Lonchura striata: one gene and its partner. The protein of the gene in region 2 interacts with the protein of the main gene of each other region in a pairwise test. Links are inferred from orthologs where the notes say so. Each region holds a gene or a part of one and is shown on either strand. Other genes may lie near its edges.

What was found. The genes of interacting proteins can lie anywhere in the genome.
Region 1: the proteins of NPAS2 (region 2) and BMAL1 interact in binary tests that used the Homo sapiens proteins (3 or more experiments, as listed by UniProt). The link is inferred for Lonchura striata from reciprocal best matches to the Homo sapiens genes NPAS2 and BMAL1.

The regions. Positions count from the first base shown.
Region 1 is NC_134608.1:58,750,250-58,757,556, reverse strand, and holds the start of BMAL1 (basic helix-loop-helix ARNT-like protein 1), read right to left. Parts: upstream 3,081-7,307; 5' UTR 3,003-3,080; exon of another isoform or gene 2,961-3,002; intron 2,915-2,960; exon of another isoform or gene 2,849-2,914; intron 1-2,848. UniProt on the Homo sapiens protein: Transcriptional activator which forms a core component of the circadian clock.
Region 2 is NC_134604.1:87,286,315-87,293,448, reverse strand, and holds the start of NPAS2 (neuronal PAS domain-containing protein 2), read right to left. Parts: upstream 3,017-7,134; 5' UTR 3,014-3,016; coding exon 2,721-3,013; intron 1-2,720. UniProt on the Homo sapiens protein: Transcriptional activator which forms a core component of the circadian clock.

The sequences.
Region 1 (7,307 bases), on a different chromosome or scaffold from region 2:
CCCATACGGATAGATACACACACCCCACAGGCAGGTCCTTTGCTTTGCTTCATCCATCATCAATCCACTGCCCAAAATCTACCTACAGTGTCTTAGAGACACTGAAAGCTCTTTCACCAGGTTTGAAAATGCCATCAACCACCTCATTTTCATCTTCAAGCACCTTCAAAACACAGACCGTCATTGCTGTGGGTTGATCAAGCAGAATGTTCAATAACCAAATCTCAAAAGTTGGTAACTGAGTTCCCAGTCAGCATCATCCAGTCAGTGACTGCCTTTATAAAAATCAATTATTTCAGGCTGAAGCTCTCAAAATATGATGACAGCCAAAAATTAAAGTTTCAAAACATGTTTACTGTATCAAAGTAAATAGAGAAAGCTTAAATATTGCATTCTGTAAACTTAGTGAGAACCAAAAAGCTACACAAGATTAAAAAGATGTATTTATTTTGGGCTTCTCTTTGCAGTCATTTGCTTATGATATGCCTTTATACAGTTTTTATTGAAGACAACTAACTTCCTAACACTTGGGGATACAAGCAGCTGCCTTTTACTACTTTTCTGCCCTTTTTTAGAAACAGAACTATAGATAAAACTGACGGTAAAGGTTAAGAATGAAAAGCTTGCAGGTTACAGAACTGAAAGTCGCTACAGGATGCACCAAATTTACTTTGTTTCACTTAACAATAATGTATTCCTTCAGGTTTCCCTGTAACTCCCTCAAAGTATAACAACACAGGCAATAGGCCCCATGCTGAAAACAGCTTAAAATGTTACATTTGAGCACGGAAACAGCACTTCTGTACTCATGTAAACTAAATAACCTGCACATCTCCTGGTATTTCCAGCATCCTTGATATCCATTCCCTTGGAAAATCTGCCTTCCTCACCTGCAGCTCAAGGGCTGCAGCTCTCACAGGTCTCAGCTTTGCCATCAGTCCTGCACAGCTTCAAAGGACTGTGTGCAACCCCAAGCTCCACCAAATAAACCCAATAAATGCTCTCTCTTCTTACTCCTGGGTGCCCGAAATAATCTTTGAGAGCAGGTATCTGAAGGAGAAAAACAAATCTCCTTTAAAGTCCCCCTACAAACATCACTAATACATCATTCCTAATACATCCCTAGCAAGGGTCCCCAAACACAGAGAGTCTCTTGGGAGCACATGGTGACAGGAACGTGGCAGCAGCCCCTAATTCCAGCTCTGGCATTGTGGAATGCCAGCTCCAGCCACCTTAGCTTCCCCACACCCAAACCAGGCAGCTTCACGTTCTCTGTGGTGCTTCTCTCTTGTCTGCTCTCCCACAGAACTTCTTTTACAGAGCTTGATCCTTCACAGCCCCACACACCACAGCTGGCCTCCAAAGAGACAACAGAAATGCACAGCGTGCAAGAGAATTTGGGATAAAACAGCATAAAACCCCAATGAAATGCTGTGGCTGTAGATTATTTTACACGCTCAATTTCTACAAGCAGGGGTAAAAATCCAGGAATGGTCATGAGAAGCACAAACCCACAGAGGTCAGGAGGAGTAAAGCCTTTTTCCTTAATAAGCAGCTGTGGTTTACAGTAACCAGAGAGAGGTCTGTAGTTCCTGATGCTTCAAAGAGCTATTTACATATTCCTGGAGGATACAAAACATACATTATGAAGAGGGCAGAGTTTAACCTCATCCTCCTGCAAGACCGTTTACAGAGACAGTTAGCTGGAATTAATACTTAATTGGAACAAAACTCTTTCTTTCCTCCCTTACAGACTCAGCTGCAGCCTGCGTACTATCAGTCGCTCACATTTAATGAGCCCTTTTAATAAAAGAAAAGGTACTTTTAATATGAGCGTGTTAAAAAAAAGAAACATAATATTTTGAATGCTGAAGTTCCAGAATTTAAAAAAAAAAAATACACTTAAAGGCTGAATTTTGAAAAGAGATTAGAACACACTCTGCAGCTGACCCTTTCTACCTCACACACTAAGGAAATGCTATGAAATTCCAGCAAGCAAATTTACTTCCAAGGCAAGAAAACACACCCACTTGTTCCTTCACCGTTGTTTTTCAGGCACAAAAATCTTCCCAAAACTGTTATAATCGAGACACCGGAGTGACAGAAACCTCAGCAATTAAAAATGCAAAGAGATTCCCTTGCCTCCCCAAGCGCAAAATCCCCGATCTCGGGAAGGCGCCTCGGTGTTCCCGGTGTGCTCCGTTCCTCCCTTCCCCTCGCACACAGGTGTCGGCCAGGGCAGCGGAGGGGGATCGGGATGCGGGGATCCCGGGGCGAACAGCCCCGGCACGTCCCGGGACGCTCCGTGCGGCGCCAGCAGCCGCCGGCCGCGGGGCTGGCACCTGCCCGCGGGCGGGACCGAGCGGGGAATTCCCCAGCACCGCCATCCTCCTGGCGCTCACAGGGGCCGCCCCCATCCCGGAGCGGCCGGCCGAGACCCCGCTCGGGCAGGGGAAGCGCCACCGTCCCCTCCGTGAGGGCCGCCCGAGCCTCGCCACCCCTGAGGGCGACTCGCACCGGGCAGAGGGCACAGCCCGGCACGCCCCCGCCGCCGCGCCTGCCCTCCGCGGGACCCCGGCCCGGCTCTGACAGGGCTCCGGGCCCGCCCGCCCCGTCCCCGCGGTGCCGCCACACCGCCGGGCCAGCCCGCCCCGGGGCCGCTCCGTAACGGGGCCCCCGCCTCGCTCCCGGCTCCCGGCTCCGCAGCCCGGCACCGCCGCCGGGGGGTCCCGCCGCCGCCATCGCCCGGCCCGGGCCCCTCCCGGGACTCCCGCGGCCCCCGGGGGCGGCGGCTCCGCCGGGGCCGCGCTGCCCCTCACGCCCCCCGCCCGCCGCCCCTGGCGCTCACCGCGGCTCCGCGCGCCCCTCGCCGCGCCGCGCCCGGCCGAAGGGAGCGCGGGCGGGGGTCGCGGCCCCCCGGCAGCGCCGCACGCCCGGCGCAGGCAGCCCCCGTCCCTGACCTACTTTCCGCCTGGCTTGCCACCCGACGGCGCACCACTAACCTACTTTCCAGCCAATGGCACCCTCCCCCGGCCCCGCACCGGACGCGCCCGCCCGCCAACGGCAGAGCGGCTCCGCGCCCGCCTCGCCCAATGGGCGGCCGCCGAGCGGGCAACGCCCGCCCCCCCGAGCGCCGGCAAATCCCCGCGCGGCCCCGCGGCACCGGCCAATCGGAAGCGCGGCTCCGGGCTCTGGTCCCGCCCCTCGGCGGGGGGCGCCGCCGGGACCCGGATGTGGCGGTGGCGGCGGGGTCGGCGGGGTTCTCGGGGCGGGTGCGGCCGGGGCGGCGGGGAGGGCTCGGCTCGGCATCGCCCGCGCTGCTGCCCCCGGCGGCGCCGCCCGCGGTACCGCCCGCTGCCCGCCCCTCCGCCGGGGCTCGCCCGGGCCGCTGCGTCACCGCCGCGTGACGTCAGCCGCGGCCGTGACGTCACGCGCCGAGGTGTGAAGGTCATGGCGGCGCTGCCCCGGCGTGGCCGCCCTGCCCGCGCCTCGTCTCCTTCCGTCCCTCGGCGGCGGGGCCCGGGCGCAGCCCCGCACACCGCCCCGGGGCCTCGGGGAGCCCGTGCGGTGCTGGCACCTCCCGTCCGCTGAGAGTCCGCTTCTCTGCGCCGCGCTCACCGGCCCTTTGCCCGCCACCCGCCCTGCCAGAGGGCCGCTACCGTGTCCCTCAGCCCCCGTGTCCTTCAGCCCCCGTGTCCTTCAGTCCCCTGTCCCTCAGCCCCCTGTCCCTCAGCCCCCGTGTCCTTCAGCCCCCGTGTCCTTCAGCCCCCCTGTCCCTCAGCCCCCTGTCCCTCAGCTCCCGTGTTCATCAGCCCCCGTGTTCATTGGCCCCCGTGTCCTTCAGCCCCCATATCCTTCAGTCCCCTGTCCTTCAGCCCCCGTGTCCCTCAGCCCCCCTGTCCCTCAGCCCCCGTGTCCTTCAGCCCCCGTGTCCTTCAGCCCCCGTGTCCTTCAGCCCCTGTCCCTCAGCCCCCGTGTCCTCCAGCTGCTGAGTGCCATGCCTGTCCCTGCCACTGATGCTCCGGGTGCGATGTATGTCCTGGTCACTGATGCTGCGTCGCCTCTGGAGCTGCTCACAGCCTGTTCCATTCTGCGTGTGCACCAGGCCAGAGGTGCAATGTGGTAGAGCCATCCACTGCGCCATGTTCTGGTCTAAATTTAGACAGTCCACGCAGCAGCGTAGAGGGGATGTGTTGCAAGAACATAATCACAGCGGAGCTGCTTTCAAATGCATACATTTGCTAAATGGGATTGCGTGAGCGCTGCATCAGATTATCATTGCCACATCCTAATTGTGTTAACATTTCCTGTCCTGTGATGCCACGTCCCAGAGGTTTGGTTTACGTTTCCCAGGGTAACATCACCGGGGAAGTGTGGGTTGCAGCGGGGTTGGGGCACGGCGTGGGTTTGGTTGTCCCAATCCTCCATCGCTCAGCCCGGGACAGCATTAACAGCTCCTTTACTCCTAATTGAGTGGGGACTAAACACTGGCAGCAAGTGGCCCCTGCTGGATGCAAACTCTCTGTTCACATCAGGGTACTCCTATTCGGCAGAAACCCTCCAGAAGAGCGAGTTAAATGAAACACTACATCAGTAGGACGGAAATGTATACTGTGAACAGAGAGGAGAAGATGCATCTTCTTATTTCCAGCAAAATGGTGCTGCTTTGCTTTGTTTTAGTGCACAGAAGTTATGGAGGTGGAGAAGTCTCCTTGACTACTTCTTTCAACTCGGCCTTTGTAGTTTTGCTCATTGTTTCTACCCATCTGTAGAAATAATCTTCCTTATGGAGTCAATCGCGTAGTGTCTGTTTTAATGAGCCCAGTGCCTGCTGTAGGGAATGATGCCAAGAGTAATGATCTTTTGCTATTTCTGTAGGAGAGCAGCTTAGCAGGCCATATGTCAGATTTCCCAGTGAGAGATTGTTTGGAGTTGTTTTTACACCGTAGTTTCTATTCATGAGATATTAAAGAAAATAATAGCATCTGGTTAATCAAATTCCGAATTTCACCATATGATGATGTATATCAGTCTAGTTCTGTGACTTTCTTTGAAATAGATTGTCAGGTCAGTGCAGGCATTCTATCTGTAGGTGAATCAGGCATCTTATACCTTGAAATTCTAAAAATGAGGAGCTAAGAATTTGAAATTTGACAAGACCTGAGTTCAGCTCCTGACACCAAAAAAGTTTGCACCACTCTTCTACCACACGTTTCAGGAGACAAAAGGCAAACAGGAGAGGTGAGGCTTGACCAAAGGTGGAGCATTTTCTCCTTGCAAGGTACTTGAGGGAGCACATGAAGTAGAGCACCCCACAAATCGTGGGAGCTGCTGGGCAGACCAGCTCAGCTGTGTGCTCAGCTCAGGGCACTGTGCACTGGTGTGTCTGATACAAGATCAGAAGCATTTCCTCATCTAGACAACTCTCACATGATTAATTTTCAGATTTTATGCTTTTTCTTTCTAAGAATGCAGTAAATTAGATCTTAGGCAGAACGTTAACTGCCTCCTTAGCTATGTTAATATGTTAATGGTTACATCATGTTTAAACACCAACATTTACACTCATGATTGGCTTACAATGACAATTTAAAAGCAGAAAGAGGGTGTGCTATGTGGCAATTGTACTGAAAATTGTTGTTTATTAATAGAATAGTGGAAAAAGTAGCTCATGTTCCAACTGATTACTGTATTCACATTTGAATGCTACAATAAAACTTTGCAGGTCTTAGGATTTTGACTTTGTGTCAAGAAGAGTGGCAGATACGATCGCCATTAAATGCAGCCTACCTAAGGTATGATAAGGCCATATCAGCAGTTTCACTTTAGAATCTGCAAGTGTTTAAATCTATAACTATTTCCCTGCAGAAAAAGGAATCTGGTTTCTCAACTGATAACCCAAAAACCGATAGTTTCTTTTCTGTTTGGATTTATTTTTTTGGGCAGGGGTTACCTTCAAGCAGTCTTGATATATCTCTGGAACACCTACAGATGTTCAGAAGTAACCAGCCAAATTAGTTCTTTGATGTATTAACTTTGTATTCTCTCAACCATGCTTCATGACCCCAGTACATGACACAGAGGACACAGATCTCTGAGTCTTTGGAGGGTGAAATTTTGTGAAATGGTTTGGAGATAGAAGAATTATATGTGTTTATTTTTTTAATGTTTTCCAAAACATGTGCAAGATAGGATATCTATTTTAGCACCTAGCTATGGATCCCACTGCTTTAGAGCATTTTAAGCAGATGCTGTTTGTTCATAGGTTTCCAGCCATGGAAATACTGATTAATACTGATTAATTAACCTGTCTTACTCTTTTATCCAACCTTTCTCCATTTCTCTCTAGACATATAAGCTATGATCTTACCTACAGCAGGGCAAGTCAAAGCTCAGAGAAAATTATGGAGACTGAATTTGAATCTCTGGATTTCTTGTTCTGTCTGTACATTAAAAACCCCAGAGATTACTGAGCCCTATTTCTCACCCTGTTACACAGAGTTGGTGCCTTGCTTCAACCCAATTATGAGGGCAGAAAAAACTGCAAACAGTGGCTTGGATTGTTTGCAAACTGATGCAAAAAATCACACAGTGGTGACCTGTTGACTGTAGTCTGTCACAGCTCTTGTGTGGCTGGCTCAGACCTCTTCAAAATAAAGGTTTTATCAAAATAAGCTGTTGCAGACTCATTCTTTTCCCAGTTCATCAAAATGTTGAGTTAATACAAAATCTAAGCCAGGGGAAAATTGGGTTTTCCTGCTTTTGCTTGTATAAACACTTGCTGCTTTAAAGGGTGTCCCTCCTACCACAATGTTTCCACATTTGAGCATTAATTTCTTAAATATACAGCAATAAATGTTGACTTTTTAATGTGCCTGCTTCCTTCTGAGGTTTTTAAAATCCATTCTTCTTCCTCCTGGCCTTTATCATAATTTAAAGGACTAAAAGCTTGTTTCAGGCAAAAGGAGAAGATTCTAATCCAGCCCATTGATTTCAGCCCTGTGGTCTCTGAGAACACAAATTAATATTCAAAGACTCAGTGGGAATTCCCAGGAATTGGCAATGCACTGCCTGGAGCATAGCAGGAACAGGAAGAAGAATCTGAGGAGGTAAATCAGGCTAAAGCCAGGGAATTAAGAAATTCTAAGTACTTCTTTGCAATATATTTTTGATCTCTACAGAAGGTTCAGGACAAAGAATTTCTATCTCTACCTGGATTTGACCTCAATGAAGGTTAAAGCACTTTAGAGTTTTTACTTAATTAAAAATATATGGAATTGAGTGTGTATTTCAGGGTCTGGAAGTCT
Region 2 (7,134 bases):
CAAAATCTGCAATTCAAGTGCATCTCCCTTAAGAGCCTAGACACAAAACTAAAAACACAAATGGAAGTTACCTAAGTTCATCTAACACAGAAAGAAAAGCAATTAAATGCACATAAAATGTGTATTTGGCTGTTATTTTTAACTGTGTGACATTTACCAATCCAGGGAAGAGACAAATAAGCAGAGGCAGGGGCTGAAACACAGAGCAGGCAGTGTGGGGAGGAAAATGATGAAAAAGCAGTAGTACCATGTCCTGGTTATTGAAAGAATGGAAACCACTGTGTTTCCGGATGTTCAGGTCTCCTGTCCCTGTACACAAGTGTCAAGTTCCTCCTTTCCACCATTCCTTCTCTTGGCGTGGGTTTACCACCTGTATCTACAGTTCCCTGCACCTTGTTCCCAAGATTTGTCATCCATGATCCCACAAATCCTTTGTCTCTATTCTCTTGTCTTCAGTTTCTCCATGTATCCATCACCAGTACTTCTCAAAAGTGGGACAGTTCTAGTACCACAATTTCTTGTCACCATTCAAGTGAATTAAACAGTCTCCTGCTTCACTCTTCCACTGCATCACCAGGCACACCCTGCCACTGAAGGCACAGTTGAGAAAGTCTTCTATTCTCCTTCCTGAACTCACTGTAGAAGCAACACCTTGGAAGAGTAATTGGGGGAAAAGTCCATTCAGCCCATCAGCCACCAACTGGAATGCTCTCATCCTTCCCAGGAAGAGGAGCAGTTGCTCAGCTCCTAACAGTGCTGGGATGTTCAGCATGCCTTGTGCTGAGAACATCTTCAAGCAAGTGCAACAGTCAAGCCCTCAACAAGTCCTCTCCCAAGAGCACATGCCTGGAGCATTGTGATAAAATTATACTGGAAAGAAATTCTGGAAGATTCTCAGAGGATCAACAAAATGCGCACCCCCATCACAAGATGATCCCAAGCAAAATATCTTTTCCTTGATCCAAAACATGATGCCACAAGAATTTAAATCTGAAGGAAAGTGTTTCTTAGCACAGTGAAAGAAATTCAGATTCCCAGATCAAGGTCTCCTAATGCAGGATGTATACCTAAACCATTTTCATCAAATACGTGGTCAAAGAACAAGTTTTTGTCTTACCACGTTCTCAGAAATAACCAAACCATTTAATTTGAAACTTCCCAAAGACAGTCTGCCTTCAGAAGGCACTCATCCTGGAAAATACCAGCCTAAGCTCAAGCTTAGGAAATGCATAACCACCTGACAGCAGATCATTGTACTAGAAAGCACTAGCTAATTTTAACTGTAGACAACATTGCTGCCTATGAAAAAAGAAACAACTCCTTCAAGGGCTCTTGCATGCTTCAGTGTAGAGATTTGGGAAAAAAAAAATCATAATTCTGTGGATTCAACCTTGCTAATGTGCAGGAAGGCACCTTTATTTATGAAGGAGAACTAATTTAGGAAAGCTCACTGAAGACCCAGGCTTTGGAGCACACAAGTGCTGCCAGCTTGAGGAATCACCCTGATGTCACATACCTAGTTCTAGAAAACCTTCATTTTCACATCTTCAGTGAATGTGCAGTTTGGTAATCACATTCTCCAAATACTCCTGGGCATCTCTGCAGAGCAACCCTGTGTTCTTATTCATCTACTGAAATGTATGCAGTATTGGGCCCTCCACCAGCTCTCAGAATCAGATGTGCATCAGTGGATGAGCTGGCTATGTCTGGACACTGTGAACTCTAATTATTTAGTACCACCAAACAAATTAAACCCACAGTTTAGTGCATTAACATCTCACACTGGGATAAATTAGATAATTTTCCACTTCAAGAGGCAACCACTTGTTGAACTGAATGCTCAGGTTGCCTGCGCCCATCCGAGAGATCCCTACAGCCCTTCTGGAGGTTTAGCGCCATGAAAAAATCCAAGTTCCTCTGCTGGCTGTAACGCTTATAACCGCTAATTATTTCTGAGTCACTTGAGTGAAAGTAAGCTGCCATCCTGTAGACAGCTAAGGAGTAGGGAGCAAAGTTTCTGGATGAGCGTGCTTGTTAATTGACAAATCAAGGTAGTGACCACAGAGGAAAACACCACGGCACAACCCCGTGTGAATCCGGTGGTGCCGTTCAGCCGTGTATTTAAGGTTTACCCCGTGCCACACACGGATGCAAACACGCGGGAAGGGAGTTCTGCGCAGGGCTGCTGCAGCAGCAGGGCTCTCCCAGCGCACGGCACAACCTCTGCTCCCCCCAGGAGCTTTCACCCATTCCAAATCCCCACTGCTCCTACTGGAAGTTTTCCTTGAGCAAACACCCGCCCGGTCGCATCGCAGACCCTGTTGCTGTCTGGCTTATAGGAACCCCCAAAGTCAGGAAATGTCCAACCACACCAAAACGAGATGGCGAGGAGGACTGCTTAGGGGGCAACTTATTTTCCAAACGGAGGGGCTCGCCCGGCCGGACCTCGCCAGCCCGGCCGGGACAGACACGCCGCACATAAGCGTGCTCCCCACGGAAACTTTCCCGCGGCAGAGCCATGCCACCCCGCACCACCGGGCGCGTCCGTGACCCCCACAGAGCGGGGGGCACCGCGGAGCTGACCCCGGCCGCCGCCGCGGGGGTCACGCTGGCCGACCATCCCGCGTGGGTGTCCCCGGCGGGCGCCCCCCGGGCGGGTGTCGCGAGTGGGCGCCCCCCGGGACGGAGGCAGGGGTCGGGGCCGCACGGCCGCGCGTTACCTGGGGTGCCGGTGCTGCGGGAGCGCGGCGGGGAAGCCCCAGCCGCCGCCGCCGCCGCTGCTGCTGCTGTCCGCGGTGGCCACCTGGGCGCGGGAACCGCCGCCGGTGCTGGTGCCGCCGAGCTGGATGCCGCCGCTTTTCCGGTGCCTCCCGGTGCCGTTGCGGCAGCGGCCGCCGCTGCTCCAGCCGCGCAGGAGGCCGGCCTCGGGAGCCGGCAAACTCTTCCTCGCCGACGAGGAGCCGGGGACGCTGCCCGCCTCCTGCCTGCCGCCGGTGCCGGTGCCCTGTCTCATGGTGCGCGGGGCCGCCGCATGCCGCTCTGCCGCCGCCCCGGGCGCCGCGGGACCCACGCGCGCCGGGGCCGGGGGCTCCGCCGGCACCGGGAGGCCGCCGGGAGCCCGGGCTGCTGCGGGGGAGTGCGGAGGCCGGAGGCCGGGGGGGCTGCTGGCTGGGGCTCCTGCTGGGGCATTAAGTTGGACGCGCGGCCTGGAGAGGCAGGGCGGGCGCGGGGGCTGCGGGGCCGATAGTTCTCCGCGAAGTTGGAGCCCGGCGGGCGAGGCGGGGGCATCCTCTCCGCCGGCCCTTCATCGCCGCCCGCCGCCGCCTCCCCTCGCCTGCCCCCGCCGCGGGGCCGCCGCCCCGCGCCCTCAGCGGGCGGCGCTGCGGGGGCGCGCCCCGCGCCCCGCGCCCATGGGCGCAGCCGCGGCGCCGGCGGCAGAGGATCTCCCGTGCCGCTTTCCTCCGCCGCTCGTAGCCTTCTCCGGCAGGGAGCGGGGGGAGCTGGGGGGAGTGGGGGCCAGGGGGAGCCCGAACGCGCGGTTGTTGCTCAAAATGGGTCAGGGAGGGGGAAAGGGACCCCGGCGCTAGGCGCCCCCCTACCCGCGGTGGGCGCCGGGAGGGCCGGGCTGGGGCGGTGGGTAGCGAGAGGGCTGCGGAGGAGCTCTCCCGCCCCAGCTCCTGTGCACAAGTGCAGGGAATGTTCCACTGACCTACATATTTTTCCAAACATACGTGACCTTTTTTTTTTTCTCTCTCTCTCTCTCGTTCTGTGGGAGGAGACAGGCGAGGATCCAAGAAAAGGAGAAGCTGGAAAGAGAACGAAAGGGGAAGCAGGGGAAAAAAAATCCTCAACCAAAGAGCCAGCCCCGCATCAAGGATGGTTTCACACCGCCGCCGCGAGCGAACCCCGGCGTGCCCACGTTTACATATGTCTGTAGCGATATCCCCGCTGCGCACCGGCGGACGCCTCGGTAGCCTGACCCCGGGAGCCCCCGGCGGCACCGCCGGCCCCGCTGGCCGGACTGCGCCCGGTGCCCGGCCCTGGCTGCCGGGGCGATCGGCGGGACCCTGCGCGGCTCCGCCCGGCGGGCTCGGGACACGCTCCCAGCTCGGCCTCCGCGCCGAGGGGGGTCCTGCGCCCTGTCCGTGCCCGCTGTCCCGGCGGTGCTGGCAGCGGGAACCGGGCCGGAGCGGGGCACGGCACCGCGCTGCCCGGGGCAGGCTCACGGCCTCGCCGGGCACAGACAGGAGCTCCCGATCTGGTTATGCAACGGCGCACAGGCAATTGGAGCAAAACCTTGACAGAGAGCGCTTTTTTTTTTTTTTTTTTTCTTGTTTCAAAGTAGGTCATTCTTTTTATTCCCTATTTTGCCTTTTTTTTTTTTTTTCTTTAATACTCTTCCTGCAAAGTGACCAGTAAGAGAGAAGGCGGTGTGGTGTGTTGGAGCGCGATAGGAGCTAGCGATCGGAGCCTTGCTCTTGCCTGGACGGGCACTCCTGCCGGCTTCTGGAGTTGCCCTTCTTTCCGGAGTTGCCCTTCTTTCCCCAGGAAGGCACAAGTGGCCGGGGAGCGGGGGCACGGCTCAGGCAGAGCCCGCCGCCTCCCCGCCGTTCCCGGCCGCGCTCCCCGAGCCTCCCCCGGCTCAGCCCCGGGCGCCGCGTCCCCCGGGCCCCGCCGGCTATTGCCCCCTGTCTGCTGTCGCCCTCGCACTGGCTTTGTACCCGGGGCTTGTTGGCGCTGCTGGCGGACACCTTTCACCGGCAGAAGGTGTTTTCCCCGGATATACAGTATTTGCTTTCAGGAGAGTTGTATTTTTTCTGTTCAGAGGAGTTTGCTGGGGAGGGAAAGCCCCCGTATCGAGGTGCAAGCTGTGTCCCTAGCAAAAGGCCTGACTGCACAGCCATGCCTCTTTCCATAGTTTGTGTGGTGGGGCAGGTGTTGTTTCCCCGTGCCCCCCCATGCCTCCTTCGGTAAAGACACGTTAATCCTTGCAAAATATCCACCAGCAGAAAACACTGCCTGCTCCGGGTATGCGTGTGTGGGTGCAGCATGTGGACTGATGGTTGCTCCAGCTACCTGTCTCCTGCAGGGAGCTGTGCTGCTTCTCCCACTACCTTCACCACCCAGCTCACCCAGTTATCCCGCTGTGATGTTCACCTCCTGCCATACACCTTATCCAGCCAGTTATTTGATCCAATTCAATCCCCAATGCAAATATGAGTAATTACAAAGTATGGAAAAATGTTGTGCTCCTTTGCTGAGCACTTTTACACCATTCTTTATACAACGGGCATGACTAATGTCGAAAGGGTAACGTTGTTTACTTTTAACGAAGATTAAATACAAAACTTCAAAAAGCTCCTCCCTTCCTTTGGATGAAAGCCAGCATTTTTTCCCATTTGGAAATTGTCAAACAGTGGTTAAACAATCCTTTGGCAAACAAGTAGTGCCTGAGGGAATAAAGCATCAGATACATGGGGAGTGGAATAAAAGACATTTCTGTTCCTGAGGTACTTTTCTTGTGTTGCACAATGAAGTATAACATAAAATCTTCAAGCCTTGTAAGGTTAGAGAAAAGGAACTTCCCATGATTATATACACTACATGATTTGATATTCCAGTCCTTTTGAAAACCTACCAAAATCCTTTCTCCAGACCAACACTGTGCTTTCAGAAGCTGGGAAACCAAGTACCTTAAGGAAAATACCAGGTTGAGAAATGCAATCAGAGACACACAGGGGCTCATGTACAAAATTACATCTCTATCGTACTGTGTTTTTACATCTTCCCTGTGAATTTCTAAGGACACCGTTGCACAAGTGAACAAGTGAGACTGGTTGAGGTTTGTTTCTTAATTCATTCCCTAGGTTACCAGAGTAAACTTTAATTAGGGCAACAAAGAGCAGAGCGGCTGAGGGTGAGGCAGGCTTTTCCCAGCTCATACCTGAATCCCGTTGTGAAATACCAGCCATTCAAAACACAAAGCCTTTCTCCCCATCCAGTGACACATGGAAAATAACCAAATGCTGTCAATCCCATGTTTGGGTTGGAAATTAACCAAAGGGTTATGCTAGATGCTACACGTAAGAACTTTAGGCAAGGAGCCCAACGTTCAATTTTAAAGAATGAAATCTTTTAATAATAATGAAGTATTAGTAAGCAGCTTTTCAGACACCAGGAGCCTGTGATTCAAAGACGCAATCCCTTTTGTTTCGACTAGAATAGGCTGGCCAACCTTCACAGCCCAAAACAAGGCAACAGGGTTTTCAATAGGCTGTGAACCACAGGCTAGGTGTCTCCCAGGGAGGAAGACCAAGGGGAAGAGCCTGAGAGGACAGCAGCACCCCAGGGATCCGGCTGCTCCATTGTGGCAAGACCATGGGAGGGATTTGGTGTTGGGTGTGAGTTCAACCCAGACACACTGTGTTTAACTCTGTTGATTTCTCTTGCTGCCAGGAGTTAAATTTATGAGGTGCTGCCACTGCAAGGCACAAGAGCTACTTTGGACATCGCTTGGCTCCAGAGTCAGAGCCTGGCCACCACAATCTGGAAGCAGAGGTGTCCCAAGTACCTAAAGGGGGCCTACACGAGAGCAGAGTCACTTTGCAAGAGCATGTAGTGATAGGACAAGGGATAAAGGCTTTAAAATGAAAGAGGACAGGTTTAGATGAGATATTAGGTGATTTTTTTTTTTTTTTTTTTTTACTATGTTGGTGGTGAGGCACTAAAACATGTTGCCCAGAGAAGTTGTGGGTGCCCCTCCCTCACAGTGATCAAGGCCAGGTAGGATGGAGCTTTCAGCAACTTTGTCTAATGGAAGATGCCCACAGCAGGATGATCTTTAATGTACTTTGAAACCCAGAAGGTTCTGTGATGATTCTCTGATTGGCTGTGCTACATAAAGGCTTTTAATTTTCAGCAGACACCAGTAGATATTGTGGGGAAAAAGATGTCATTTGCAGCCCATAATTGAAATGTGAAGCCTACATTCAGATTAGTGTTTGTGTAGAGGTAAATAGGATTCTCCCAAATAATCATCCTCTAATCAACATAAATGGCAACAGTGGTGCAAAAGTCAGAGATGGCACTGCATGGTAGAAAAAAAATAAAGGACATACAAAAACCTGACCAATT